7 linked regions of the Macaca mulatta genome follow. The protein of the gene in region 7 interacts with the protein of the main gene of each other region in a pairwise test. Links are inferred from orthologs where the notes say so. Each region holds a gene or a part of one and is shown on either strand. Other genes may lie near its edges.

The links.
Region 1: the proteins of ATXN1 (region 7) and ATXN2 interact in binary tests that used the Homo sapiens proteins (3 or more experiments, as listed by UniProt). The link is inferred for Macaca mulatta from reciprocal best matches to the Homo sapiens genes ATXN1 and ATXN2.
Region 2: the proteins of ATXN1 (region 7) and ZNF488 interact in binary tests that used the Homo sapiens proteins (3 or more experiments, as listed by UniProt). The link is inferred for Macaca mulatta from reciprocal best matches to the Homo sapiens genes ATXN1 and ZNF488.
Region 3: the proteins of ATXN1 (region 7) and KLHL12 interact in binary tests that used the Homo sapiens proteins (3 or more experiments, as listed by UniProt). The link is inferred for Macaca mulatta from reciprocal best matches to the Homo sapiens genes ATXN1 and KLHL12.
Region 4: the proteins of ATXN1 (region 7) and ZC3H10 interact in binary tests that used the Homo sapiens proteins (3 or more experiments, as listed by UniProt). The link is inferred for Macaca mulatta from reciprocal best matches to the Homo sapiens genes ATXN1 and ZC3H10.
Region 5: the proteins of ATXN1 (region 7) and PHPT1 interact in binary tests that used the Homo sapiens proteins (3 or more experiments, as listed by UniProt). The link is inferred for Macaca mulatta from reciprocal best matches to the Homo sapiens genes ATXN1 and PHPT1.
Region 6: the proteins of ATXN1 (region 7) and DCTN3 interact in binary tests that used the Homo sapiens proteins (3 or more experiments, as listed by UniProt). The link is inferred for Macaca mulatta from reciprocal best matches to the Homo sapiens genes ATXN1 and DCTN3.

The regions. Positions count from the first base shown.
Region 1 is NC_133416.1:118,649,845-118,653,616, forward strand, and holds part of ATXN2 (ataxin-2), read right to left. Parts: intron 3,284-3,772; coding exon 3,138-3,283; intron 2,502-3,137; coding exon 2,274-2,501; intron 94-2,273; coding exon 1-93. UniProt on the Homo sapiens protein: Involved in EGFR trafficking, acting as negative regulator of endocytic EGFR internalization at the plasma membrane.
Region 2 is NC_133414.1:61,498,421-61,502,192, forward strand, and holds part of ZNF488 (zinc finger protein 488), read right to left. Parts: intron 2,843-3,772; 5' UTR 2,683-2,842; coding exon 1,711-2,682; 3' UTR 1-1,710. UniProt on the Homo sapiens protein: Transcriptional repressor. Plays a role in oligodendrocyte differentiation, together with OLIG2. Mediates Notch signaling-activated formation of oligodendrocyte precursors.
Region 3 is NC_133406.1:60,555,888-60,559,659, forward strand, and holds part of KLHL12 (kelch-like protein 12), read right to left. Parts: intron 3,505-3,772; coding exon 3,346-3,504; intron 3,035-3,345; coding exon 2,936-3,034; intron 2,182-2,935; coding exon 1,995-2,181; intron 1,423-1,994; coding exon 1,296-1,422; 3' UTR 1-1,295. UniProt on the Homo sapiens protein: Substrate-specific adapter of a BCR (BTB-CUL3-RBX1) E3 ubiquitin ligase complex that acts as a negative regulator of Wnt signaling pathway and ER-Golgi transport.
Region 4 is NC_133416.1:63,267,242-63,271,794, reverse strand, and holds the start of ZC3H10 (zinc finger CCCH domain-containing protein 10), read right to left. Parts: upstream 2,935-4,553; 5' UTR 2,882-2,934; intron 2,106-2,881; 5' UTR 2,042-2,105; intron 1,006-2,041; exon of another isoform or gene 652-1,005; 5' UTR 600-651; coding exon 1-599. UniProt on the Homo sapiens protein: Specific regulator of miRNA biogenesis. Binds, via the C3H1-type zinc finger domains, to the binding motif 5'-GCAGCGC-3' on microRNA pri-MIR143 and negatively regulates the processing to mature microRNA.
Region 5 is NC_133420.1:5,617,148-5,620,839, forward strand, and holds PHPT1 (14 kDa phosphohistidine phosphatase), read right to left. Parts: upstream 2,271-3,692; 5' UTR 2,249-2,270; coding exon 2,089-2,248; intron 1,707-2,088; coding exon 1,582-1,706; intron 1,279-1,581; exon of another isoform or gene 1,217-1,278; coding exon 1,159-1,216; intron 967-1,158; coding exon 932-966; coding exon of another isoform or gene 874-931; 3' UTR 699-873; downstream 1-698. UniProt on the Homo sapiens protein: Exhibits phosphohistidine phosphatase activity.
Region 6 is NC_133420.1:65,076,520-65,081,051, reverse strand, and holds the start of DCTN3 (dynactin subunit 3), read right to left. Parts: upstream 2,825-4,532; 5' UTR 2,799-2,824; coding exon 2,703-2,798; intron 1,090-2,702; coding exon 1,005-1,089; intron 301-1,004; coding exon 214-300; intron 1-213. Other genes in the region: ARID3C (AT-rich interactive domain-containing protein 3C), read right to left, coding at 3,792-3,892, 4,354-4,443. UniProt on the Homo sapiens protein: Part of the dynactin complex that activates the molecular motor dynein for ultra-processive transport along microtubules. Together with dynein may be involved in spindle assembly and cytokinesis.
Region 7 is NC_133409.1:166,497,642-166,502,041, reverse strand, and holds the start of ATXN1 (ataxin-1), read right to left. Parts: upstream 2,809-4,400; 5' UTR 2,681-2,808; intron 1-2,680. UniProt on the Homo sapiens protein: Chromatin-binding factor that repress Notch signaling in the absence of Notch intracellular domain by acting as a CBF1 corepressor. Binds to the HEY promoter and might assist, along with NCOR2, RBPJ-mediated repression. Binds RNA in vitro.

The sequences.
Region 1 (3,772 bases), on a different chromosome or scaffold from region 7:
GGCCTGGGGACCGCCGGGTGGCTGTGTCGTCATTAGCATCATTGGCGCATGGGCAGTTGGATGAGAAGGAACCATTCCTGACTGTACATGAGCCTGAAACAGAGAGCTCTTTTACGCATACAGGCAACATCTCCGGCTTCAACAACATGTCAACTGTGTTCCTTTCACTGGGCTGGGACTCTCAGGAAAGGGCAATGGTGGGCCTCAGGGCCCAGTTCTGTTCTCTGGGGACAGTCTCTAGTAGATTATCTGTTGACCTGAAGATGTGCTTCACCTTTGGGTAGATCCTGCAAGGAAGGGTCAGGGAGCAGGCACCAAGTGAGCCTAGGTAGAAGTCAGGGCTGTGCTGTCCTAGCCCTTGACATTTCTGATCATTGTATTCTACATATGGGGTAAGATCTTCACAAAGATTAGACACCGGATCCAAGGGTAGCTTTCTCAACTTAATATCATACAAGATTCAATGATGCTTCAGAATCAGGCTGCCATGTGGGGCCTGAGGCAATTTTGCAGATAACATCCCTTTCAAACAGGAAAGCAGATTACTACATTAATAAGCAGAGACTGTCACAGTCCAGTATGTGAATTACTTGGACCTCTGTTCATTTGCCTCTCTCCCTCTGCTTCTGGCCTGCTCACCAGGCAGTGAAAAGAGACTCTTAGGCCCCCGTGACTCTCTGAGAGATATGCTGATGGAGCAGGAGGAGTTGGAGTTTTTAATGGCTCCAGTGAGATGGAAAGGAGTAACCTGGAAGATCTGGGCCAGCCCAGTGTCTCTGTACCAAGTTCAACCTGGTCTCACTCACTGTCAAATTGGAAAGGTGATTTTAGTCAGCCCAAACTAGCTGGATTCCAGCTCTGCAGGGGGTTGGCAGGGCCAGGAAGAGCCCTTGTTTCCTTTTTCCCACACTGTGCACTATTCTAGATTATGATGAGCCTTGGATGAAATGCTGTTTTTACTCTCACGTATTCAAATGGGTACATGGCATATTTGAGCTTCCCTGTGTTAACCTTTTTGCCCTTTCAGCACAAAAACACAGTGAGGTATTAGGGATCCCTGACTTACATGTAAGTTCACATGCCTACTTAGCCACCAGCCTCTGCTAGACACCTACAGGACCCCAGCTCTTATGAAGCTGACTCCACCAAACCACGCTGGCCGCCACGGACCAAACCGGCTTCCCTCCCCACTATCAAAAAGCAAATCAACTGCAGTGCGCTACACCACAGAACCTAAACTTTGCAGGGTGAGGACGCCCAAACTTCCCAGAGCTGTGGAACTCTACTTACAAGGTAGCCTTCTGAGAGATAGATCCAACTGAGTCGCATCTCTAGCCCACACCTTGCCAGAGCCTCACTGGCGCACTATTTAACAGGAAATGGAATTCATTGTGGCAGGTCTCACTTAGACCCGCCTCAGAGAGTTCTGTTATGAAGTAGCAGAGACATCTAATACAGCCAATTCACCCGTAACAGCCCCAGGGAGGGCCTCAAGGCCAGCGTTAGAGCCCAACTTCAGTGCAGCTCCTTCTCCTCATTAAGACAATCCCCTGGGCCCTGGAGTGCAGGGACCTTGTCAGCAGCTGATGCAAACAGCAACCACGGAGATGGCAAGCACACCTTTCACCTGGAGCAGCTGACACTGGAGGTGAGCTCCCAAGTGCTTCCAGGGCTGCTCTTCAAGAAAAATGGGACCACCTGGGTGCTTCCAGCTTCTAGTTACACTGCACCAATGTCCAAGGCCAAGCCCTCTCAAGAGTACAACTTATGGTCAAAGCAGATATATGAATAACCAGGGAAAACAATTGGAGAGATGTGTCTGGAACTCATGTGAGTAACAATCAAGTTGACAGGCCCCAGTAGTCACCTCGGAGAGCTGAGACTCTGTGAAGGCCATCATCCCCGCCTGGCTTCCGAGGTAAGTGTGTAGAGGGGGATATATATATACACATATATAGAGTAGTGAGGCTATATAGACGTAGCAAAGCAGACACAGAAAGGAAAGAAGGACTGGGTTGCATTCCAGAGTCAAAGATATTTTTAAGGTCTCAGTTGGAAAACTAAAGGACTGACCAATCAGCACCTTCACTGATCCCATGACAAAACCACACAAACATTCCCTTAGGGCCAGATCACGTGTATTTGAGCGGGAAAGGGAGACAGGCAAATGGCATGACACACAGGGTTTCCTAGCTGGGAGAGCCTCTCGCTGCTTACTGATAACCTTCACATTCTACCTGGCCTTCACAGAAAGTTGGCTAAAGCTGGTTTACCTGAGGTACGTGGGCCATGTGGGGTGGGTTGGTATACGCCGGCTGAACGTGAGAAGGATGGATCGTAAAGACGGTCTGTTGTGCTGCTGGGAAACTATTCTGTGGCGACTGCGTGTTGGAGGCAGGTGTCATGGAGGGTGGAGTTGGTGCAAGCCCCGCGTGGTAAATGGCTGACTGCTGCTGTGGACTGGCCAGATGGAGAGCCTGGGCGGCCTGGTGCTGATGGTGCTGCAAAGCGACAGGAAAGAATTGAGAGGAAAACTTCTTTAATGAAAAGCAGCCAAGGGATACTCACAAAGCTGAGCTTTGCACACGTGGGCCTATGATGAGGGGCAACGGAAAGTACAGGGGAATGTACAGGATGGTAAGAGCAAGGCTGGAGGTGCCTCCCATCTGGACATTCCTTTCTGGGGTGCAGAAGCCTGATTCTCGGCCTGGCAGTTAGAAGCTTCTGAGCATACTAAAGTTAAACAAGACTACTGCCCCAGGGAACTGACAAATATCAAAGTCTTTACCTCCATTAGCAAACATAATTCAAGAAGCTCATAGGAAAATAACCTCATCACATAAACCTTAATTAAAATTTAAAAGTCCCAAGCAAATAGGAATTTGCCTTATGAACCTTATGCTAAATTTGATTTTTCATTAACGCAAGTTTCCAGAGCTTATCCTATCACCTATTATCAATATGTATCTTAAATGTGATTCTTAAAAAAAGCAACCACCCCAGGGGCACAGCTGTATCCATCTTCATGAGAGTGGACATGCCATGTGTTCTGACGATGCAATACCTGGCACCTGAAGAAAGCACTCAGATACTAGGATGAGGAAGCCACTCCATGCAGACCTCTGAGTTGCCCTTACCTGAACAGGGCTGGGTGCAGGATGACTTCCACCATGTTGGCTTTGCTGCTGTCCAGTGGGGGTAGCTGAAGGCTGAGGGTGTGGAGTATGTGGGTGCAGGGTAGCGTTAGGGTGCGCATACTGCTGAGCAAGGGAGCCCGTGGAAACTAAAGTGAAAGAAAAAGGAGCATGTACACACCGATGTGTGACAACCTGCATCGCTCCTCTACACTTCATCAACTGAACTTTCTTGATGGTTACAATGCATAACTCACGCCACTACCAATTTCTATAGGTGACTCCATTTAAATCATCCATTGTCTTGAAAAAATAAGTGTAGCTATTGCTTAACAGACTAGCATTTGGTTCATATAATACAGCTCTACATATGATATTAAAATCAAATTAGTTTGCTTTTACTCTGAACAGTCACTAGGTTTTCCCAAAAACACAACTTGAAGGCACAGGCAGAAACTACTCAAACAAGTGCATTTTAGGCGCACACTCTTTAGCTCAAGGCCATTATCTGGCTAACCTCACCATGCTACTGCCCTGGAGCAATGTCCTGAGGGCACAGACTGCATTGGGTGTGGTGGTGGTGGGGGGGGTGTGGGCACTGTGTATGGTATGTGGCAGGGCCAGGGATCTATCATCAG
Region 2 (3,772 bases), on a different chromosome or scaffold from region 7:
AACATCTGTATTCTTCCAGTGCTTATGCTATTGCATGGCACACAGGGACGTGAAATGAGTGTTTGCAATTAACAACAGGCAAGGACTTGTTTGTGAAGCAGCTGGCAGGTCCTGCTGGGGCCTGCTGGGTCCTTAGGCCTGTAAGTGTGAAGGGCAGCCACAGGGTTGGAGGCATCATCTGAGTTACACGTTCAGAAGATGATCTGGTTGTGTGCATGTGCGCAATGGATGGGTGCATGGCGAGAGGCAGGAATGGAGGCAGCGAGGACATCAGAGCAGCCAGGTGGGAGTGCTGCTGCCTGGAAGGGTGGACAGAGGAGGGCAAGAGAAGAGGTGCAGTCTGGGAGGCTGGCTGAGATCCCCACCTGCTCACCCTGGCTTATTCCCAGCCACAAGCCTGAGCTCTGTGCTGGGGGGCTGGAAACTGCACATCCAAAGAACAGTATCTGACAGTGAGGTGGAAACCAGTGCAAAAACGACACTGGCTTGGAAACTCCCCACAAAGGGCTTTCACGGAGACTGACCTGTGCAATGTCAAAGAGTACAGCCTGGGCTCCACACATCCTTAGGAACAAGGGCCGATGCGGGTACCTACAATAGCTACTGACCGAAATGCAGTAGATAATAAATGGTACCTAGAATGCTCCCCAGCTTCACAATCTGGAAGCCTAGTTTTTGCACATGTCCTATTCTTGGAAGGTAAAAGGGCATGTGTGTAGGTGGTGGGGAGGGGGTTCTATTTCCCTCTACTCATATACTCACAATGTAAAGAACTATGGACCAGGTGTTGGCTGGAATTACCTATTCCAATTCTTCACCCTCCTGTGGAGGGGATGGATGCTCACTCCCGTGTCACAGCTTCATCAAGGGCAGCCTACGCTTTTCCACTCCTCAGTATTGGGCCTGGTTCTGCCACTTGTATGGGCTGAGAGGACGTTGGCAATGCAAACCAAGCAGAGGCTTCAAGTGTGCTTGTTAGACTCACCCTCTTGTGTTCTTGGCATAACCGCAAAAGAAGCATGCCCGCTCTGGGTAGCCCACCAGCCGAAGAAGAAAACGAACATGACTTGATCAAATCTGAGACTTGCTGCCAAGCCCAGCCAAGCTCAGCTTAACCTGAGCCAACCCACAGACTCATGACTGAGACAGATGCTTTAGCTTGTATGCCATGGAGATCTTGTTAATGACAATAGCTGACTAGTACAGACATCATCACAAACCTCGTTGACTCAGTGCTCAGGGTCTGCAGGCAGAATGCTGGCCACTTTCCGCACGCCTTTCATGTGACCTGAATGCCAGCCTGACACACAGTGTTATCATCTCCACTTCACAGACGAGACAATGGGGACTCAGCAGGTTAAAGCTCTTTGTCCGGGGTCACAGCTGGTATGTGAAAGAGCCCAGATTTGAATCCAGGCTTGGGTGCCTCCAAAGCCCATGATGTGTGCCAGGAGTCGCCCCCGCTTCTGTGCTTGTTAGGGCCTTTACCCTGGATTTGCAAAGCCCATCACTTTATTTCAGGACTTCATTTCCCTCAAAACACATCATGTAGGTGTGGCTTTTTCAAATTATGCCTGAGCTGTTTATCTATGAATGTCAAAGGTGGCAGCTCTGCAAAGGACCATGACATCCCCCTCAAGGCAGGCCCAGGGAGGCCCCTTCTGCCAAAGGCTGGCTGCCGCACCCAGCAGGTCACTCTGCGCCCACCTGCTAGCTGTGAGAAGTCATGTGCCGGGAGAGGTGGTGGCGCTCCCGGAAGTGCTCCTGGCACACAGGGCAGGCGAGGGTCTCTTCTCTCTGCTTCTGAGAATGTGTATCAGGCCCTGCATGCTCCTTTTTGTGGTGGGACCGCATGTGGAAGACCAGGTCGGACGTCAGGCGGAAGGACAGGTTGCACTTTGCACACCAGTTCTGGGTAGACAAGCCCAGGGAGGTGAGGGTGGGTGGCAGGAGGGCCCAGGAAGTGGTGGAGGATGACGAGGGTGGGGGCACCTGGGCCTGGGTGTGCTCCAGCCACAGTGTGGGGGCACCCAGGAAAGTGCTGCAGAGTGGAGCATTCTGTGGCAATGCTTGCGAGTTCCAGAAATCACCAACCAAAAGCTTGGGAGTTGAAAGTCGACCCCAACAAGCGAGGTCTGCGGTGTTGAGGAGTCCAGACAGCTCCCCCAGGGTGTCTGCACATTCCCCTGCAGGGAAGACTGAGGTTGGCCCAGGCCTCTCTGCTGGTCGCTTGGTTGGTTTGCTAAAGGCGCTTCTCTGCTCACCTCGTGCTCTGCTGGGCCACACAGAGAAGACTTTGCTGCCGGCTGGGCCTCTGGGGACGTCCTGGGTCAGCTGCAGGACGCCAGGCTGGCCTGTGGGGTCATCGTGCTCCCTCTCCCGGGCCTGAGGATCCACCTGCCAGTCCTTCATCCTCGGCAGCTCCGTGAAGGCGCTCTGACTCTGCTCCCCACGCGCCTTCAGGGGCAGTGGCTTGCCAGGCAGGGGCTTGCCTGGGGCTGCCAACAGTGCCAGCTCCACACTGCCCACATCCCGGCCTGCCCTGCCCACAGCAGCCTCGGGGCCCAGGCGGTTTGTCTTCTCCAGCAGCACTGGCTTGCAGCCCCGGCCCAGCTCAGGTTCGCTAAGTCGCCATCTGTTTTCAGCCGATGGGCTCAACGGGACTCCCTTCCCAGCTGCCATGGTGATCACCAGGGCCGGGGCCACAGGATAAGCAAGGTGGCCACTCTGGCAGCCATCAGTCTTTGCGGGTTTGGGGTTCTGGAGGGCTTGGCCCAGCAAGGAGCCATGAGATGTGGAAGCTCCCTGTGACACTGGGCTGGACACACTCGGCCACAGGGCCCTGCAGAGAGAGGAAGTGACAGGCAGTGAGATGGGCATCCATCACTCAGGCACAGTGCATCATGAGCTGGCATCAGACAGGACCCTGACGCTCAGGCCTCCTCCGTGGTCTGTGGGATGGGTGTGCTGACCACACCACCTCTGAGGAGACAAGGAGCATGGATGGCACCGTCCTCCAGGGCCCACCTGCCTGAGGCAGAGTGGGGACAGGGGTCTCTGCTGAAAATGCCCAAGGGCAGCGGCCCCTATAGCTCAGCAGAGAGAAATGTAGGATTCCCCTGTCAGAAGTGGTTCCTGGGGACTAACCAGCATGAAATGGACAGTCTGGAGGTGAATGGAAAGAGCCTGCTCTGGGGACTGCGTTAGGGCCTTAGGGGTCCTCCAGAAGTTTCTGGGTCATCTGTCAACAAGTAGACTCCATCATGAGGAAGCCACGTGCCCTCAGCCCCTGCTCCATGCTCAAGCTCCCTCTGGCCCTGGCTGAGTGTTGAGGGCACAGGGAGGCTGCAGCATTAGGGCCGATGTGTTGGAGGATCATGGACTTCATGGTCTTTGCTCCTCATGCAGCCCTCTCTGTCCTGACCCTAATGTCAACCCATTGCTCCTCGGGTTACCAGACCTGCCTCCGGGCCTGGCGGCCCCTTTGTCCACATCACATTCCCTGTCAGCTTCTGTATGGTCTCCGATTTTCTCAGAGCCATGCTTCTTGTGAGAGTCATGTGTCCCCACTCTTCCCCCAACTCCCAAGTACATGTGGACGGCTTTATTCTCACCATACCTGTGAACTCATTCCAAAATGCACCTCAGGCACAGCCTCCCCTAGAGGCTTCCCCAGTGCTCTCAGACACAGATAACACTCCCTCCTCCATGCCACCACTGTCCTGGGCACCAAAGGCCTGCATGCACCACGTGCAACATTGTATTTACTTGT
Region 3 (3,772 bases), on a different chromosome or scaffold from region 7:
TTATCACATTCCCACACTCCCAATACCCATAAAACAAGAATTTCACTCCATGACACGGAGGAACATTGAATGATAGCTCAGAAATGCTGCTAGCTGAGGTACTGAAACTAACAAAAGGATTTTGGTTGTCCTTGATTATTCTGTCCTATGATGAATAAAATCTACACTAAAGGACAGGTAAAGAAAACTTATACCAGAAAAAAAGACCAAATGTACCAAACACAGCAGTACAAACCACTCCTTGGCAGAAGTGTGCTTCTAAAAGAATGGGGCAGCAATCAGGTAGCTGAACTACTAGGCTACTGTCACTCCCAGCCCATCCCCAAATAAATAGTGTGGAAGTGTAATAGTGTAGTAGTATTTGATTCAACAAAGAAAGGCTTTCACCCCCATTCAAGGCAAACATTGCCATGGCTAGATAAGCCCTGGCAGGTAATAAGACGACTGTAAAATCACAGGTACTTCTAGTTTATCCCCAGTTATAGTGAACTCCCACATTGATGTCATCTTCTCTTATCCCAACATTTGTTCACTCTTTTATGCTGTCTCCAGTGCGAAAGACCTTGGGGAAATAAAAAGATCCTTCAAATAATATACCCTTCTCAGTCTTCCAGGTTATGTCATACTTCAGTGCTGTTCTAGGTTCACTCACATTCCATCACATTGAGTTTAATTCACTTATTCTAACTTCAATTCTGATATACAAACCCTGACCTCCAAAAGAAGTGTCAGATGAGTCTCTCTCTCCCTTGCCCCCAAAGTTTTGTGGGGCTCTCCCTTTGGTTTCCCTCTACAATGGAACTGTGTTGCCCCTAGCTACCTGTAGATGAGAAAATGTAGTTGTTCCTGGAAAAAAAAGAAAAAAAAAAGACTTGGATTTTACCAAGCTTACTTAAATTGGTATCTTTCCAATCATCTAGGCTGGATATTACCCACATCTAGTAGGCTATACTCACCTTGCAACATATGAGGCACAACATACATATAGTACACCAAGCACGTGGTAAGTTAGAAATGACAGGAAAATGCTCCCCAAAGCAGTGGGAGAGGCAATGTGGTCTCTCACATCCATTCAATGTGCATTCTTTTCTCTGGAGTATCTGTTACCCACCCTTCTCAGGAGCAAGACCCAGGACGAGGGGGAGTATGTGTCAAATAAGTACAATCATCACTGCACTGGTGCCTGTAATCAACCTGTGCACATAGTGAGAAACAGACATTCTGGAAAGGATTCTTGATTCTCCCACTAACTGTCCACTGGACTGGAATAGCTCTGGATGGTGCTCCAACAATGGTCACTTCTCACGGAGAACACACACACCAGCATCACAGCGCTGGGTTCCCATGGATGTCACGACTTCCCAGCTGTCGATGATAGGGTCATAACATTCAATGCTACTTAGCAGGGAATTACCATCATATCTGAGTGGGAAAGAAGCAAAAGAAAGAAATCAGTCAGTTGCATGCAGTGGCACGTGCCTGTAATCCCAACTATGCAGGAGGCTGAGGTAAGAAGATTGCTTAAGTCCAGGAGGGAATTTGAGAACAGCCTAGGCAACATGGTGAGACCCCGTCTCAATAAAATTTAAAGAAAGAAATTCGCCTTCTATTCCTTTCCACACAAGTCCTTCATTAAGGCTGCCACTGGAGACCAGGCATGGTGACTCTCGCCTGTAATCCTAGCACTTTAGGAGGCTGAGGTGGGAGGACTGCTTAAGCCCAGGAGTTGGAGACCAGCCTAGGCAACATAAAAAACTAGTCTGGCACAGTGGCATGCACCTGTGGTCCCAGCTACTCTACTCAGACTCCAGCCTGGGTGACAGAGCAAGACTCTGTCTCTAAAAACTAAAAAAAATCTAATAAAAAATATCAGGTTGCCACTGGAGATATCTACCCCTACCCAAGTCTTGTCTCCATCCAAAAATGAGGATCAGATCACATAGACTCTTGGCTCTGGCTACATATTGAGTCTGGATTAGTTTCTAAATCCTCACCCTGCAATTGCATAGAGTCTCCCCCGAAGCACTGTGGCCCCTACATAGCATCGTGGAGTGGTCATACTGGTGACAGTTGTCCAGGAATCAGTGCGAATGTTGTATGCTTCAACGGAAGAAAGGTGGGCTGTACCATCAAATCCCCCCACCACATAAATATGGTCATTCAGCAGGGCTACTCCTGCACCTGGGGAAAATGAAGGCATTAGCAAACGAATGGTACTAAGCCTAGAATCTGAATTACAGAAATAAACTATCGTCACTAATGACTAGCTGAGTTCTAGAGTAGATGAGAGATATGGACTGGGTCCATACGGGCCTAGAATAATCTAGTCCAGCACAAGTTATTCCACCTATAAACCCTTTGGCTCGGACTTGAAATGATAAAAGGTAAGTAACAATTGTTCTCCTTACTTTCATTAACTCAGAGCCCAACCCTTCTAATTAGGAGAAAGGGAGGAAGAGAAAAAAAAGGCAGCAATAAAGGTTGATGGAGGGAAAGGAGTTGTGATTATGCCTCTGAAGCAATTTTTACCCAGAATAAGTAAACCAGAACGGCACAGTGTTTTCTCCTTTTCTACATCCCAGCCTGCTCCACTTCAAAAAGTTCTCGGTGAAGGTAAGTAGCTACTCTTTTGTCCTTATGCATTAGAGACTTTATTTAACATTTATTTAACATGTACTACACAGACAAAATTGTACTAGATATTCTAAAAAGTAGGGAGAGAACAAAGACATGAAGGCTTTTGCTTACAAATGTATAATCTAGTTGTTAAGTATCAACTGTCTTTATCTTCACTAATATTTAGAGAAAACAGAGATAAGGAGGAGAGCAGAATCTCATTTTTACATTAATCTACAGTTTGCCCCATGCACCACCATTATATATGCAAATGTCTGACAGTACCATCTATTGTCCCTTCCCTCAGATCTAGTCTTACCAGAACGCTTGGTGGCCATTGGTGTAACATTAGTCCAATGTCCTGTATGAGGGTCATATTTCTCAACGGAATTTAAGATATTCAAGCCGTCATATCCTCCTGGAAGACAGAGATCATTCCAGAAAGAGTGGTAAATCCTCATGCCCATTTCTGGTCGGTCTTTCTCTGAGTGCTTCAACTAACTATTTTAGTTTCAATTTTCCCCCAAGAGTTCCATAAGAGAAATCTGACAGTACCCTACTTTCTGCTTATAAGAAAAAGATAATCCCAATTAATGGAAAATATATTAACACACACCAGGGTTTTAGTTGAAGGGAAGTCTATGAACTTCATCCTAGTAAAAAGGAATCCTTACTCACAGTCCACTACCCATTGAGTTCTCTCCCATTCCTGCATCCCAGACTCGATACCTAGACAGTAGATCACTCCGCTGGCCACTACGAGTCCGGCACCTTCCCGAGCTGTCTGCATATCTCCCAGCATGCTCCACTGGTCAATGTTTGGATCATACCGCTCCATACTGGTGTGACGCCTGCTTCCGTCAAAGCCCCCAGAGACATAGATCATATCTGCTCAGAATAAACAAATTACAGACTATTAGAGAATGACAGATTTCTAAGAACTCTTTCCTCTACAAATTTTCCAAGGATTCTTTAAAAGTCTGGGAGCAAAAACAAAGTATTTTTTAATGAGATAAGTCAATTAAGTTTTATAGACAAGGAAGACATCCAAAAAGAATGGGGTAAAATAAAATCCTTAAAAGCATTCAAAGACCACCTGGGAGTTTGCAAAAATACAACTAGTGCCAGTTCCCCACCTAGCACGTTGGAACTTGAT
Region 4 (4,553 bases), on a different chromosome or scaffold from region 7:
AAGCCCCTGTCAGGAAGGTCATAGATATCATAGAGATCATGACGTCGTCCTGGGAGGACTGAGCCTGTTGAGCCCCCACCAGTGCCTCCTCCACCCCGAGCATCAAACTCAAAATCCCGCTGCAGGTGACGGAACTTGCACTTGGCTCCTCTCTGACAGTCACCCTTGAGAAAGTCACGGCAGATAGGGACCTCCTCCTTGCCATTTGGTAGGTCTGCCGGTGAAAGGCCAAGGCCAGCTGCTACTTTCTGCCTCAGCCGTGGGGGAAGCTCTCCTGTCTTCTTATAGCCATCCTCATCCTCCTTGGAGCCATGGATGAAACGGCAATTTGGGCGGCTACACTCCTTGTTCTGGAAGTCATGGCAGAAGATGAACTCGTTTTTGCTCACCCCCAAGTTGGACACCTCACTCATGTCTGGGTGGCGATATCGGCAACGCTTGCCTCGCTTGCACACATTCCTCAAGAAGTCTCTACAGATGGCATCTGAGGTGGCCCCGCCACTGCCTGTCCCTGCCCCACTGGCCTCCTCGCTGCCACCACCTCCAGGGCCTCCACCGCTGCTCCCGGTACCGTTGGCATAGCTGTCCCGGTCAGGCATCCTGGTCCCGCCCAACTCGGGGTTTTCTTTATCTTGCCACTCTTGGTGACCACTACAAAAGAGGAGAACTGTATCAAACAGGAGTCCTCCAGGGAGATCCCACTCTTCTTGACTATAGAGCAGGTGGCCCAGAGGGGCAATGGCTTTAGAGATGGAGAATCTAAGGGATAAGAATTCTGGCTGAAATGTCTGACTCATCAAAAGTCCCGCCCAGGCTTTTGTGCACCTGGTCTGGGTCAGAATGATTCACACTTGCCTGGCTAACAGAGGAGGGAAGGAGTTGGGGTGAAGCCACCTAATTTCACTAATGACGATAGGCCCAGGAGGGAGCAGGGAAAAAATAAGTGTTGGATTTCATCTTTCCTTCTGAGCTGACCTTATTAAAGTTGTGGAAGTGAAATTAAAACTGCAGTCAGTATGTGAACAGTCTGGGAGGAAACTGGGAATAGTGCCCAAGATGGGCTACTACTGAGCTACTAGGGTTGTAGAAGATGGTAACAAAACTTCCTTAACCCCTTTTCCTTTTCCTCAGGTGAGGGCTCTGTACGTATAAAATCTCTAGAAGCCAAGAAATCCTGGGTGAAGAGACTGGTGTCACCAGCTTGAGGGGAGTCTCAAAACTTGTCATATTTTAGTATTCCCTCCTACCCACCATCACTGTCAGCGGCAGAGAGGTCAGCCCCCTCTATTTCAGGGTATGAGTTCTAAGTTAGAATCTCCACTTCTAGATTTCCAGGACAAACCATTTGTGATAAGATCAAGGTGGGAAGGAGTTAATTTCACAGGAACAAGTGACCTTTCCCCATTCTCCACCCCCTTCCTACTCCCCTCTGTGAAGATCCCACTGACATCCAGCCACACCATTCCTCAACCCATAAAGATCCTCTTTATTTATAGACTCCATAAAAGCTTTTTAAGTCTCCTATTTCCCAAGAGAGCTTTGGAATGTCAGTCCACTGCCCTGGTTCTAGCCCTCCCCTCTCTCCACCCCTAGTAAGACCTGGAGTCCCTGCTACCACGTGTCTGACCTCCCAAGCCTTTCCTATGCGGTGTTCAGGCTCCCTCTGCCGCTGAAATAGGAAAACTTCACATTGTTCCCTTTGAGCATAAGGGAATCTTTCCTGATTACTTTGGCCTTGACCTACCCCATCCCACTGCTGTGACTTTGCCTTTAGGTCTCCCTAAAATGAACGAACCAAACCAGAGACCACAGTTACATGAGAATCTGTAAGAGGGTCCTCCTCCTCTAAAGGGAGTTGGTCCCAGAATAATAGAAGCAATCAAGGAAAGAAGTGGTAAAAGATACAAACTTTTAGTAAAAGGGAATGACCAGGTGAAGTACAAATGCCATCTATCCAAACCTGGCTCACGTTGCAAGTCGCACCAGCAGCAGATAATTAGATATGATGCTCCTCCCCACCCAACTCTCCCAGAATTGATACCTGAGGTAGCTCAGGTGAAGTCCGGGGCTCCTGTGGGTCTCCACCTCCACATCACTGCTGGGTTCTGAGCAGGAAAAAAACAGAGACTTGGGTGGAAGGAGGGGTAAGAGTGGAGGACTATGGGGTGGTTGTCACAAGAAAGAAATCTGACAAAACGGCAAAGCTTAGGGAACGTCAGGATTTTCTCAGGGTTCAAACTGAACTTCACCTGTCCAAGGGAGAAGTGGCCAGTAAGAAGAGTAAGAGATAAAACTAATTCGGAAGGACTGGGAGCATGGGTTGGAAAACCAGCTCTGAGTGAACAAAGGGTGCGGGACGCCCTGCATCAAGATGAAAGAGGATGTGAGGGTCAGAGCCCGGCTAAGGATTGGAGTAATGGCTAGTGAGGAACCTTAAAAGGGCAGCGCCTGACAGTGCAGTGGGATGGCCGATTAGACTTGGAGGCAGTGATTGTGACGCTTCCCAACACCCTAGAGTTTGCGAAAAAAGTCCTAGGAGTTTTCCCGCAGCAAGTCTTCTAGCTTGGCAGGTTCCGTGCAGTGCCGCTGGCGCTCAGCCATGGGCTACGTGAAAGGGACACTAAGGGCGCGCGAAGTGAAGCGGGGAGCTGGGGCTCCAGGTGTCATCAAGCTGAGGGGATGGGCAGGGTTGTGACGTCACGAAGCTGGCGTTTGCTCGCGATGCGGGGTCAGTCAGAAAAGGGGCACTGCGCTGGGGTGTGAGGACGAGCCAGCTCGGTTCTGGGGGGCCTTGTGTGGCCCAGCCGAGCCCAGTCGCTGGGCCGGCCCCGACTCCTCCCCTCCGGGCGCGGCCTCCACCTAAGTCTCCCGCCTCCCTCACCTGCCGCCGCCGCCGTAGTTGCTGCTGCCGCCTGCCGGTCCTCTAGCTTCGACAAAGAGCCGCCCACCCGATCGCTCTTCCGCTTCCTGCGGAAGAAGTGACGCTCTAGCCACCAGACCCGGAACCATACTCTATGGTGTACAAAGTAGGCGTGCGACATGCCGCAGGAAGTTCCCACCACGCTTTGCGTGTCACCATGGCAACCTAACCCAAAGGCGCGATGTAGTCTACTAAGCAGTAGTCGTCAAGGGAGGCCTCCTGGAAGGTAGGGGCGGTACCAGCATTGGCCCCAAATAACCCGCGAAATCTAAAACCTGCCTCCAAAGATACATCATATCCCATCCAGCTCCATGCAAACCACACCACATAACCCGGGCTGTTGCCTTTGATATCCTCCATAGCACAGGCAGTGACAGGGCAAACTGTAATGATAGAAAACCCCCACCCGATGGAACCATAAAAAACATAATAGACAAGACGATTTAATTCTTCAGCTAAAAGAGCGGAAGAGGTGATTTATTTTAGGGTTGTTACACTCGGCCACAAATAAACACAGAAATAGTCCAGAATGTCACAAGTCCAGGGCAGAGGACCAACATGGGCAGTTTTGTTTATGAGCAAGGTGGGTCTCAGAAGTGATCGGCGATCAGAGGGCGATGAAGTTCTAGATCCATTGAGACAAGCTCTAGACAGTAGCATGCAGTCCCACAACTTGTACCAGCATCCCCAGCGCCTGGCATTCCATGTTTCTGCTCCTGTGGCCTCCACGATGCAACAAGCTAGCGGTTTACTTGGACCTCTGCCTCATCTTTCTTCTTTTGCGCTTCAGCCTGAAAAGCAGACACAGGAATGGAATACACCTATTCTCAAACCAGAGTTCTTTCCCTCCTACATTAAATCAAACGTGCACATAACATGAGGTGGTAAAATGAACAAGCACTACGGTTCTATCGTCCTCTGTTCTATCCTTTGCTCTAGGAAGAAAATACTCAAACATTTTTCTCCTGAAGATCTTTTAAGATTTCCAAACCAAATGTTTCTGCTAAGTTTTGTCCAAGGAACTTCCCTCCTCCTGGGCTGGCAAAGTCTCCAACATACCTGCGCATTCGCTTCTTCCTCCACTAGCAACCGTTCACAAGCAGCAGATAATTTTTAAAAAAAAAAGAGAGATAAAGCTTATTAGTAGGCTTAGGAGGGATATGAAATGCACTCTTTAGAACCGGGCAGATTCTTAACCAAGTATGAGATTGGTCGTAGCAACTACATCAGTAACTTGGACACCCTCGCAACATAAAATCAGAATTCCACCCTTTTCTAATTCCCACCCTCTCTACCCATAGCACTTAACCGCTAGCTCTCTTACAAACTACTTTTCCTCTCCCACCAGCTCTTGGTACCCTTGAAACCCAGTAGTTCAGGAGGTATGGCGGACTTGCCTTAGTCTCCCCCTACTACTCGCCAACTCCTACCTCCCAAGCTTACTACCAGGAACCGCTCACCTTGGCTCTCATGGCGCAGAGGTTTCTACAGGGAAGGAGAGAAAGGCTACAGTTAGTTTGGTGTGATGATGGTAAGTGTCGAGGTCAGATGTCTACGGATTGTACGCGGAATCCGATCACAGGAAGCAAACACACTCACCCAGAAAAATGGCGCTAAGGCCGAGAGAAAGCCG
Region 5 (3,692 bases), on a different chromosome or scaffold from region 7:
TTTCCCACGGTGTGACCTCGGAGCTTGTGTCACTGAGCCTCGGTGTCCCGGTCTGTAAAATGTGGTCACGACAGTGCCTGTCTGGAGAGGCTGGCCGGAGGACCAGTGAGCTGACAAAAGGTGGGGATGCTCTGTGTACAACCAGCCCTGGCCCCCAGGGTGCCCCTGCACCACCCCACGGAGTGCCACTGTGTCTGGGGCTTCCCAGGGCAAGGCCTGAACCCATGCTGTGCCCACAGCCCTGCCGGGTGCAGGAGGGACCTGGGAGGGGCCCCCAGAGTTAACGTGAACCTGCAGGGTAGGTGCAGCTGTGGGACCTGACCCTGGATACTGGCAGGCCCCATGGGGCTAGTCATGGAAGGAGCCTGCAGGCCAAGCCTCAGGGCAGACGGCAGACAGGACACTGGGGAGCCCTTGGATGGGTTCACAGGAGGGAGCACTGGTGGGTGCCCCAGGTCTTGGCCAGCCCGAGGGATCAGGCCCTGACTCCAAGATGCCCTGGAGGACAGTGACCGTGGGAAGAGCAATCAGGCCATCACCAGGGCCCCCTTATCAGACCCCAAAGGGCTGAGTGTGCATGGCCACTCCCTGGGGCCACTCCTGTGCTCCCCCACCCACCTGCTTTAGTTAGGGTCTGGGGGGCCCTGGAGGTGGTGACGCACGGTGCGGAAGCCAAGGACAGAGTTCAGAGACTGGGAGGCGTGGCAACACGTTTAATTCTGTGGTCAAGCTAGCCTGTCTGCAAAGCCTGGCAGACGGCAGGTCACCAGGGGCTGCCGCAGAAGCAGGCAGGGCCAGCCCCGAAAGGGGTGCAGGCAAAGGCGGGGGCTCTGACATGGCTGCTGGAGGTAGCAGGCCCCAGGCTGGGAGTGCTCAGTAGCCATCGTTAGCCCAGGTAACCTCGTAGTCGGGGTACTTGGCTTTGATTTTCTCAGTTGAAATGGCGTGCTGGGCAGGACCATAGGCCTGGAGAGAGAAGACGCCTGCTGGCACCACCTGGACCCTTCGACCCCATGCCCTGGCTCTGGGCATCCAGCCACCAGCCACACCAGAAGCGAGTGTGGGAAAGGGAGAGAGTGCCTGGGGGTGCCAAACCCACCATCCCGACTGCCCTTGGGGGCTCCCCTGGGGAGAGGCGACCTCCACAGGCAAGCAAACCTTGAGGGTGGATCCTGGGGCTTGAGGCACCCAGAGGGACGCACGTGGCTCTCATCTGCTGGTGGTTTTTGTGAAGAGCACGGGCGGGGACTCTGAACTCCACCCAGGTACTGACTGCCTCTGGGGGCCCAGGGCGCAAAGTGCTGGAGGACAGCTAGAGCCCAGCAAGGCCTCCGGGGGCAGGGAGAGGGAACGGCAGGCCATGTCTGGGGGTCTCCCTCCCGCCCCTCAGGTCTGGCATGTGCTCCATGGGGGAATGCAGGAACACAACTGGCCCTGGAAGGAGGGCTCTGCCGCCCACCCTGGGAGAACCCCGGGAAGCCTGCGTGCTCATCTGGGGCCACGGGTCAGGGCAGCAGACTCAGGTGGGCCTCGAAGCTGGAACCGGGGCCTCCAGCAGGGCGGGACGGGGCTGCGGCTCACCATGGAGTAGCCGTACACGTGAATCTTCTTGTCCTGGCTCTGGTGGGAGATGCGCCCGCCGCCCAGACACTCACAGTCACAGCCCTGCTTCTGCATGTCGCCCGACACTTTGTCGTAGATGTCCGCTGGGATGGGAGGGCGACCTCAGGACGTGCCCTGGCCGCCCTTGGAGGCCGCGGGAGGAACTCCCGGCCGAAGAGGTCTAAAATCCCAGCTCTGAACAGCCTCTTCCCCAGAGGAGACGAAGCCCCTTGAGGCTGGGACAGGGATGAATGAGAGGAGGGTGGAACCGGGGCGAGCTCGGGGACTGGGAGACTGTCGTGAGGCGGGGGGTGTCAGGCTGGGTCACGCCTTTCCCGCCCAGGACCTGAGCCTGGCTCAAACCTAGCAGGGGCAGGGCTGGGAGCAGAACGCAGTCGGTGGCCCGCAGCACCCACCCCGGCCCGCCAAGCCCCGCCCCCGCCTCGCCAGCCCCGCCCCTCGCACGCCGGCAGGCCCCGCCCTCACCATGGTACTCGGCCCACTTGTAGCCGCGCACGATCTCCTTGCTCTCCGCAGCCGGAGCGCCGGAGCGCGGAGCCGAGTGGACTCGGATCAGCACATACTTGAAGACACCGTCGGAGTCGATGTCCACATCAGGAATGTGAGCGAGGTCCGCCGCCGCCATGTTCTTCGTCCCGGAGGCCCCTCCTCCCACCCGACCCGGGGACCGCTTGTACTGCGGAAGGCGGGCTCTGGGAAAGCGGCGACCAATCCCGTCGGGGAATGCTGCCCAAGACCCAGCGCCTCAGCCAATTGTACCGCCGACCGAGGCACGCGCTAACCAATCGCAATCCAGTTCCTTGCCGCCTTGCGGCCCTGTCAGCCCCACTAGCCCCACTTAAAGGAAACGTGGAACCGGGAATGGGGGGTGATTAAATCCAGCCAACGGAAAAGTTCCTCTCCAGCGGGGTCCGGTGGCACCCTTGGAGCTGGGCAGTTAGGCGGCCCGCGAAGCTGGGGCAAGGAGGGAGGCCTGAGGGACGTCCCAGCCCTGATCTCCCGTCCCGCACGTAGTCCGAAGACCACCCTCCCCGTGGCCCCCACCGCCCGAAGGCCTCCTCCTCCCCCCTCCACCGTCCGAAGGCCTCCCCCTCCCCCTTCCACCGTCTGAAGGCCTCCCCCTCCCCCCTTCCACCGCCCGAAGGCCTCCCCCTCCCCCCTCCACCGCCCGAAGGCCTCCCCCTCTCCCCTCTCCATTGCCCGAAGGCCTCCTCCCCGCAGCCTCCATCGCCCGAAGGCCTCCCCCTCTCCCCTCTCTATCGCCCGAAGGCCTCCCCCTCCCCCCTCCACCGCCCGAAGTCCTCCCCCTCTCCCCTCTCCATTGCCCGAAGGCCTCCTCCCTCCAGCCCCCACCGCCCGAAGGCCTCCCCCTCCCCCTCCAAAGCCCGAAGGCCTCCCCCTCCCCTCTCCACCGCCCGAAGGCCTCCCCCTCCCCTCTCCACCGCCCGAAGGCCTCCTCCTCCCAGCCTCCATCGCCCAAAGGCCTCCCCCTCCCCCCTCCACCGCCCGAAGGCCTCCCCCTCTCCCCTCTCCATCGCCCGAAGTCCTCCTCCTCTCAGCCTCCATCGCCCGAAGGCCTCCCCCTCCCCTCTCCATCGCCCGAAGGCCTCCCCCTCCCCTCTCCATGGCCCGAAGGCCTCCCCCTCCTCCCTCCACCGCCCGAACGCCTCCCTCTCTCCCCTCTCCACCGCCCGAACGCCTCCCTCTCTCCCGTCTCCACCGCCCGAACGCCTCCCTCTCTCCCCTCTCCACCGCCCGAACGCCTCCGTCCCCAACCCCGCTACCCGCACAAGGAGGCAACAGCAGCCACTACATTCAAGTTCTATTTTACTTGGTTCGAAAGCTCTTGCCTCCTGGAAATTATTTCGGTCCAGGGGCGTTCCTGGCCGGCCCTCTGGGGTGGGGCCGAATGCAGAGGCCCTGGGGCAGGGGGCGCGGGGCGCGGGGCGCGGCGGCGGGTGGGCAAGCGGGACGCCTGGCCGGTGCAGACGCGCGGGGACGAGGTGGGCGCGCCGGGTGCGGGAGCGGGGGCGGGGGTGCCCAGTTTCTCTCACTTGGTGTCCCCTTCC
Region 6 (4,532 bases), on a different chromosome or scaffold from region 7:
TGGCCTGCAGCTGGCCCAGAGGTATACTGTACTCAATGTCTACTAGAGGATCCACTGGATCCTCAACCCAGAACCAGGCCACAATTCCAGAGAGCAGCATCCAGGGGTTGTATCCATCAGAAGACTGGATGGGGAGGCCATCTCTGTGCCTCCCCATGACCTCCCCAATGACCCATATCCTCAGATGCATGTACACATGTAGTCCAGCATTACCTGCTAAGATGAATTGCAGCTTAGAAGCATCAGGTATGGCAATGCGGTCGATGTACTCCGGATCCAGGTACTTGATCAGATCTTCAACTAGAAAAGTAGCGAGATGGGAAATGGAATAGGGTTGGGCAGTAGAACACTGCCTTATGAAGGATGTTTGACAAGTGGTCAGCCTTGAGGAGAGCCTTCAATGAGGAGCTGATACCCAACAGTGCTGCTTGAGCAGGGCTCCACCAGGCTCCTTATCCCCACTTCCCTATCTCTCCACTCTCTTCTCTTGAGGTCTCTTCTGACATCAAGCTTCAGAGCTGAAAACACAATTGCCACCACCACTCTGGGCCCTCAGCATTCTCACTGACCTATCCTTATCAAGGGTAGAAGGCCTCTTTTCTCCTAGATGTCAACAAGACAAGCCAGAGCTTTGTCTAATTTCTAGTTACTAAGCAGGTTACTAGCTCTGACATAACCAGGCTCTCAGTGTCTAATTTGTTTCCTGCCTCTTAACTTTGCCTGGGAAATCCCATACCCTTTCTACCCTCCTTCACCAAGAGAAGCTTTCAGGTAGAGCTCTTACCTCATAACTAAGGACACTGTCATGGGCTTGAAGTTTAGCCACAAGGTAGAAAAGCACACCCCAATTTACCAATCGAATTGGGTGCAGGTAAATGTCCTCATAATCTTTCTATCCCCAAAGGGCTATTCCAGTGACTTAATGAACTGAAAGGCTAGGGCCAGGTCCCAGGAAGCCTAGGGATGGGATGTCAGGCAGGCAGGCACATCATGGAAGCACTTACTCTTTTTGTAGAGAATCTTCACCCTCTCCCTCTTGCTGGCAATGTTCCCCAAAGCCACCTGCACCTTGACCAGGCCGTCAGCCACCTGTAAGGGAAGTGGTGGTTAATTCCAAGATATACTACCTGGCTCAAGGCTTGGAAGAGCTAAATAACCCTCATTCTCCTAGACTGTCAAACCTGAATCCCAGTAATCTAGGTTGGCCTCCCTTCTCTAACATTAAAAGAGATGCAGCCCCACCTTCCAGGTATCCTCAAAGTGGAGACAGAGAATCATGTACTCCTTGGGGAGTTTCAAGTCTGATGGGGAAGATAATGAACTATTTTAGAGTCTATGGAATATATAGTATACACAATATATTTTCTGGTTCCTAAGCCCTGGGTTTGGGCATGAGAAATGCAAGCATCCTCATTCAAGCCTTCATGACCTCTAGATTGGCTGGCCTACTTCTAGCCCTATCCCCTCCACATCAAATTTAGTGTGAGGGATGGAAGAGTCCAAACAACTGGGATCCCAATGATGGTACAATCACTGACTTAGAGAATACAGAAGAGAATCAGGTTAGGGGAGAAAAAGAGTACAGTTAAGAGCATACAGATTGAGTTTGAGATGACTATTGGATAACCAAGTGGAAAAATCCAGTAGACAACTGGACATGAAAGTCTGGTTCTCAGAACAGAAATCTGGACCAGAGATATACATTTGAGACATATTGACATGTAAATAGTAATTGACACCATGGAAGCAAGTAAGCCTACCTAACGTTTAGGGGTAGAATGTAAAGAATCCCAATATTAAAGGGTCAAATAGAGGAGGAGACTAAGGAAGTGACTGCACTCACCCAGTTTTTAGAGTAGAGGATGAGGAATGCCAGGGAGGAGGCAAATAACACTGAGAAGCAGTAGTTAAGAGGTAGAAGGAAAACCAGGAGGGTCAGTGTCATTGATTCCAAAGGAAGAGAATGTTTGAGAAGTTAGTTCTGAAATGGGAGCACAGTCTGCGAGTGACAACTAATTCCTCATTTAGTGTACAAACAGACATCATTACCTTGGACGCACTTAGCTCCAGGACATGCCTGACACGCAATTAGAAGTTCTTCAGTAAAAGGTCTTCCCGTAGTAGAAAGGTGAGGAGAGAGCACCTGAGCTTCGTAGTTGTCAAAATTCTGTCACTGGTATAAAGCAGTGCTAGTCCACATCTGAACACCCAGTACCCAATCTCTTCCCTTCCTAATCCTGGTCCTTTCAGACCTCACCTCTCACCCTTCAGAGCTTTCCTTATCCACCTCTGCTCTGCCTCCTCATGGGTCCCATGGACCTCTTCCTGCACAATTCATTTAGCAATTAATTACGCAGGGCTCCATGACGGGACTTCCTATCGTGGACTTCAGCTTTTATTGAAACTCTCATTAGTCAGCTTCTCGAGTGTGTCAGGTCTCCCCAACTACAGCCCGCGAGGGCAAGGGTGGAGTCTCAGCCACAGTAGGTACTGAGCCCACTCTCAGGCTGGCTTAACCACCCGCCGTGCCCCCTATGACAATGGACCCCGAGGGTCCAATCAGCTCTGGGAGGTTCCAGACCTTTGTTATTTCAAAGGCCGGGCTGCGGAGAACAGGACAGGAGCGGTTGCATCCCGAGGGCCGGGACAGTGGACCGCTCTTGCTCTGTTCCAGAAAGGGACCACCGGACCAGACTACTCACCTTCCGCGAGCCGCGCGCCCCGCCCGGCCCGTACACCCAGCGTTCCAGCTCTTCCACTCGGGCCTGCAGCCGCTGCACGTCAGTCAGACCCGCCATCTCCACTAACGACCCACTTCAGCCGGGAAACGGCCAGAGGGTGGGACGTCCGTCCAAATAGGAAGGCTAGCCAATCCGAGTGCACGAGCAGACCTTTATGCAGGAAGTGACGTCATGATTCAGCCCTTCAGTACCCGAATTTACTGCTTGGAGCTGTGAAAAGCTGATTACCTTGGCAACGGCTCTGTACCAGCCCTCCCCGGCTTCCAGCGCCTGGTTGTCAAGACAACCTTTGCTTTTCGGGTGCCAAAGAGCTTTCCCCACGCCATTCCCTGAGTTTGCACGTGTTCCAGGGTAGGTCCATTCCCATAGATACATCATTAGAAGGCTCCGTGAGTTACCATAAACTTTTGGAGTCTTCTAAAGTTCAGTTGATTAAGTAACTTGCCCAAGGTCACCCAGCACTATAGGGACAGAAATGGGGCTTGAACTCAGGTTGTCTGATTCAAGAGACGGAGCTCTTCTATTCTCACGGAACTTTGCTATTCTGCCTTCCCCTCTGAAAGGCCCTGGCCCAAGGCAGCCCATGTTCCACATCATTCCTCCCCACCTCCCATACCCAAACAAGAAAGGAGGCATCAGAGAGGGAGGGATCGCAGCTTTATTGTCTAGATGTGACCTGAGGGATGTCTCTTTCACAGTACCCCAACCCAACCTTTCACTTGGCTCCTGAAGAGAAGCAAGGCTGACTCAAAGGGGTAGGGTTCTAGAGATGACATTGACAGAGGGGACACATGAGGAGATGATAGTGGTTACTGGAGGAAGAACACTTTAGTAGATGCTGCTGGAATTGGCCGGGGAGGAGGTGCCCTCCCTTTACAGTGAGGTAGGTGTAACATCAAAAGAAACTTTGGTTTTAAGTCTACATGGCATGGGAGGTATGGTCCCCTCCCAGGGCTGGGTCCCAGAGTGGGCAGCCGGAAAGAATCAAAGCAGAGGGACTCCTCCCCACTCAGCAATGGGGCTGGGACTCTTAGTTTCAAGTAGGACCTCTTAGGGGAAGGTGCTGGAAGGGGGCCCTGTAGAGGGTGGGGGTGCAGGGTTGGTTGGACCCTGGGAAGCTGGCACAGGCTGGCGGCGGGCAAAGAGGACACCTGGCAAAGGGGTGAGGAGATGGTAGAGGGCAAAAACAAGCAGGAGGGGGTAGGATATGGAAACAGAAGAGGGGAACAAAAGTAAGTGTTCTGGTTGCTAGAACACTACACACGTACCCCTGCCACAAACCAATGAGGACAAGCTCCTTGGGTCAGTAAGAGACTCCATTGCTAATGTAGATACCCTCAAACAGGTAAACAATAATATTTATGCTGATACATAGGCCCATGACAAGGCAGACATCCCCTGGTACTCAAGCCAGAGAGGTCATGCCTTGGATCCCATGCCATGTAGGCACCCCCTTTAACCCATGCCAGTCTAGCAATCCCCTGAACCCCACGTTACCCATGCAAGCTTAGATATCCCTGAACTTCATGCTAGTAGAGGAAGTCTAAAATCCCCATGCCAGCCTAAATACCCCTGACCCCATGCCAGTGTAGACAGCCTGCAGTACCCATACCAGTGTAGACCACCCCGTTGATCTCTAGGGCCATGTTGATACTGCTGATGCCACTGCCTGCCAGATTAAGAGGCCCATCCAGCCGCTCTTCTGTCCAGGAGGGGGCAGAGGAATCACATTTTGGAGAATCAGACTTCAGACTTATTAATAGAATTTCCCCCCTCCATCCCTGTAGACAG
Region 7 (4,400 bases):
TACATGTGTGTATAAATCCAAGTTTTGTTTTCTTATTCATCCTCATAGTCACTTACAGGGGAATGATTTATGACACATTAAGGAGGTATTCTTAAGCTAACATGTCTTAATTAGGAATTCAGATATTCCTCTTCTGCTGAGAAATACAGAGCTGTTCAAATTAGACCAGAAATTAGGGCCAAAACGAATGCAGCCTCTACATACATAAGCTCATTGCAGGGTAACCAGTGAAAGGCAGAGGCTGAAGACACACAAGTCATTCTGCGTTTGTCTCCTTCATGCTAAATGATTCTTTGACTGCTTTTCCTTTCACTTTTCAGCGTTATGATGGAGCCAAAGGGTCAAGAGATTCACAACCCTACAGCCCTCCCCTTCGTTCATCTGTAGCATAAAGCATGCATTTCCTAAGAGCTGGGTGTGGGGGTCTCTTCATCTACCTTCTCTTTCATTTATTTAGTGAAATGAAGCTTATTTAGTAATGACGGAAAGAGATGAGCCAACTAGGGCAGCTCACATATGGTGCCAGACGGTGAGGGACTCTCTCTGTGCCCAAGGCACTTGCTGTACCACAGGAGCTAGGCAGCCCCGGGTGGGAAGGAAGCTCTGCTCTTAACCAACGGCTGCTCCAAGGGTTCCCCCAGCCAGGTGATCCAGACAGCTATGGTTTCAAAGCTCTGTGAAAAATGAGTCTCTGACTTGAAGACTTCAATCAGGCAGCCTCTCCAGGACTGGGATTACTCCACTAATACAAATTAAAGCCATTCAGAAGTATGCTAAACCCTTTTTTAGATACTAGAGGAGGATGAAAAGAGGGAGGAAAAAGAAGCAAAGTAATTTTGCAAGATTAGGATTATACTGTGGTTTATGCCAATACCTTACATTTGTTTACTTCTATATTAAAATGATTAAATACTCCTGAAATAGGAGCTTTAACGATTTTAAACATTTCATATATATTATTTGCAGCAACACCCAAGGGAGAAGGGTACTATTATTATCTGAATTTTACATGCAAAGTGACTTGTCCAATGTCACACTTCAAAAAAACAGCAGAGTTGGAATTTGAGCCCAGGCAGCCTGAAGCTTGCAGTCTTATCTACTGTGAGCTACAGCTTTTCTATCATATGGCACTAACATAGTTATATTTAATCATGCTCCCGATATTGGACATATATATATATACACACACACACACACACATACATACACACATACATATATAGGCACATACATATTTTTAAACTAATGAGCAGTATAACTTCAGATACATGTCTAATAAAGATTTTTTATTAAATACCTTTTCACTCTTTTTAAGAAATGAAACATTATGCTTTCCACTGAAAAATGATTGCTATCTAGTGATTTCATAGTTGTCTAAAAATACTTGGCCAGAAAGGAAGAACTTAAAATTCCCTAGGACCCTTCCACTACTTCTGGATTTAATATTATTTCTGAAATGTCGAAATCTGGTAAGTTTCAAAGATGCTACTGTCTAATGGAGGAAGGTTCTACAAAACAGTACAATTTACTTACAAATGACCCCCCCACCCCAAAACCCAAAATACATGGAAACACCATTTTGCATAATCAGTCAGCAAAAACTCCTTTTGTTTTCCAAATTCCCAGCATTGGAAAATTGTATTAAGTAGACACTCTCATAAACTGCCTCTGGAAATACAAACTGGTATGACTTTACTGGAAAGTAATTTGGGAACAAGTTACCAAAAGCCATAAAACTTGAAAACTCTTACATTTACCAGTGTGCTGCTAAGAAATTAGCCTAAGGAAATAATTTGCAATGGGAACTAACACAGAGCTATAAGAATATTTTTGGCACCATTAAGGCAATAAAATGGCTGGGCATGGTGGCTCACACCTGTAATCCCAGCACTTTGGGAGGCTGAAGTGGGAGGACTGCTTGAGGTCACGAATTTGAGACCAGCCTGGGCAACATGGCAAAGCCCCTTCACTATAAAAAAAAAAATACAAAAGTTAGCCAGGTGTGGTGGCATGCACCTGTAATCCCAGCTATTAATACTTGGGAGGCTGAGGTGGGAGGGTGACTTGAGCCCTGGAGGCAGAGGTTGCAGAAAGCCAAAATCATGCCACTGCACTCCAGCCTGGGTGACAGAGTGAGACCCTATCTCAAGAAAATAAAAAGGCAAAAAATTAGAAACGACTAACTGTCCAGTTAGAAGGGATATAAATTAAATAAATTTTAGAATATTTACTCAATGGTATACTATACAATCATTAATAATTATACTGTAGAAAAATATCTGTTGCTATGAAAGATGTTCAGAATTACATTGTTAGGAGGAACAAGACTCTTAATAATCTCTACTACTTCTACAATCTCTACTACCATTTGATGTTCGTCTCTCCAGGTGAATTTATAAACACTGCCTTCAGAATTATCAGCAACGCCTCGTCATCTATCCTAACCAGTGACCTCAAAATAAGTAGAAGTTACTTCCTTTCCCACAAAAAAGCAAGGGTTTCATTTTTATAAAAGAGACAGTAGGGAGAAATGGAGTCTACGTGAATAGATACATATTTATGTTCTGTGTGTATGTTTGTGTAACCAGATATGTAACCAGATATGTATCTTGGGGACTATCTTGGGGACTTTACAACTCAGTGATAATTATTTTCCTTTAAAGATTTTGGAGACGTTTACCTGTACCATGTGCTTTCATCACAATGGAGAAGCATAAGCTATCAGTTCCTTGCGGCGGATCTCTTCACGAAGATTTTGCTTGAGTAGAAAGGGTGGCAGTGGAGAATCTCAATGTAAAATGCCTAGACCTGTAATTATAAAAACAATATTCCCACTGAGTTAGGCAGCTTCTGTGGTCTTCATTCACATTTGCTGATGTCACAGAAACGGGAAACATCATATTGCATAATCTCTCTCATACACACATGCACACACACAAGCGTGCACACACACACACACACACACACACAAGATTTTTAAATCACAATGTCAAAAACTCAGCAGGCAGAGACACAGCAGGTTCCTATCCCCAGAGATGAGTGGGTTCTGGCCAGGGGTTGCTTCCCACCCCATCTCCTCACCTTAGGGACACCACTATCAAAATAATCCTGTTCCTGCCCCTCCCTCTCTGCTTAATGATTCTAAGATTTCTAAGAAATAAAAAGCAGTCAGTTCTTCACAGAAAATGTCAGAAACAATGCTGAATTTGATGCTCTCTTTCTCTAAGACTCCTTCTAGCCACACAATTATGCAAATTCAGTGCATGTATTTACCATTCTGGCCTGACTTTCACTTTTGAAACTACACATGCCTCTTTGTTAATAACTCAGTTAAGACATGGTATCAGCGATGGCCAAGGTCATCACGAACATTGATTAAACATTTACTATGTTCTGGGCCCTGGACTGAGGGTTTTACACACATTGCCCCACTCCATTGCAGTCTGTGAGGTAGCCAGGAATCATGATTACCTCTGCATTATTGACAAGAAAACTGAGAGTAAATACAGCCAACAGATGTTAAAGCCAGCACTTAAGCCAACCATTTACAGAGGTCATGCTTAGGATTCTAGTACTATACCATCGCTTCAAAGCTGATATTGCTATCAACACTTCTGTAGTTAGTATTAAAACATGTCGGGGCGGGGCGTGGTGGCTGACGCCTGTAATCCCAGCACTTTGGGAGGCTGAGGTGGGTGGATCACGAGGTCAGGAGATCGAGACCATCCTGGCCAACATGGTGAAATCCCATCTCTACTAAAAATACAAAACTTAGCCAGGCATGGAGGTGCACACCTGTAATCCCAGCTACTGGGGAGGCTGAGGCAGGAGAATCACTAGAACCGGGAGGCAGAGTTTGCAGTGAGCTGAGATCACACCACTGCACTCCAGCCTGGTGACAGAACAAAACTCTGTCTTAAAAAAAAAAAAAAAAGCATCACATCAATATCACCTCATTTTCCCCAGAGGGTTATGTCACCTAAGTCTTAAAATTACTATTATTTGTTTTGGATTTGACTGTACTTTGATTTTAATTCCCAAGCTCAACTAAAACCAACATGTTCATATTTCAATTGAGTGTAAGTTGATGGTTATTTTCGTAAATTAAAAATGCTAAGTAATCCCAAATCCAGATGCCAAAACACTAAGCAGAAACCTAAAATCCATGTCCTGCCGAAGTGGCTACATTTCATTAGAAACAAGTCAGATGATAACATCCAAAGGCATGTGTGAATTCCAAAGTAAAGATACAAAAATGAAGAGAGGAATTTCTATAGCTAATACAGCCATATCTTAAAAAAACACTTAAACATGTTTACCTGTTTACAAAGTCTACATAGTAATACAGATCTTAGAATCACTGCAACACAAAATGGATATGAGCATATCAAGAATCAACA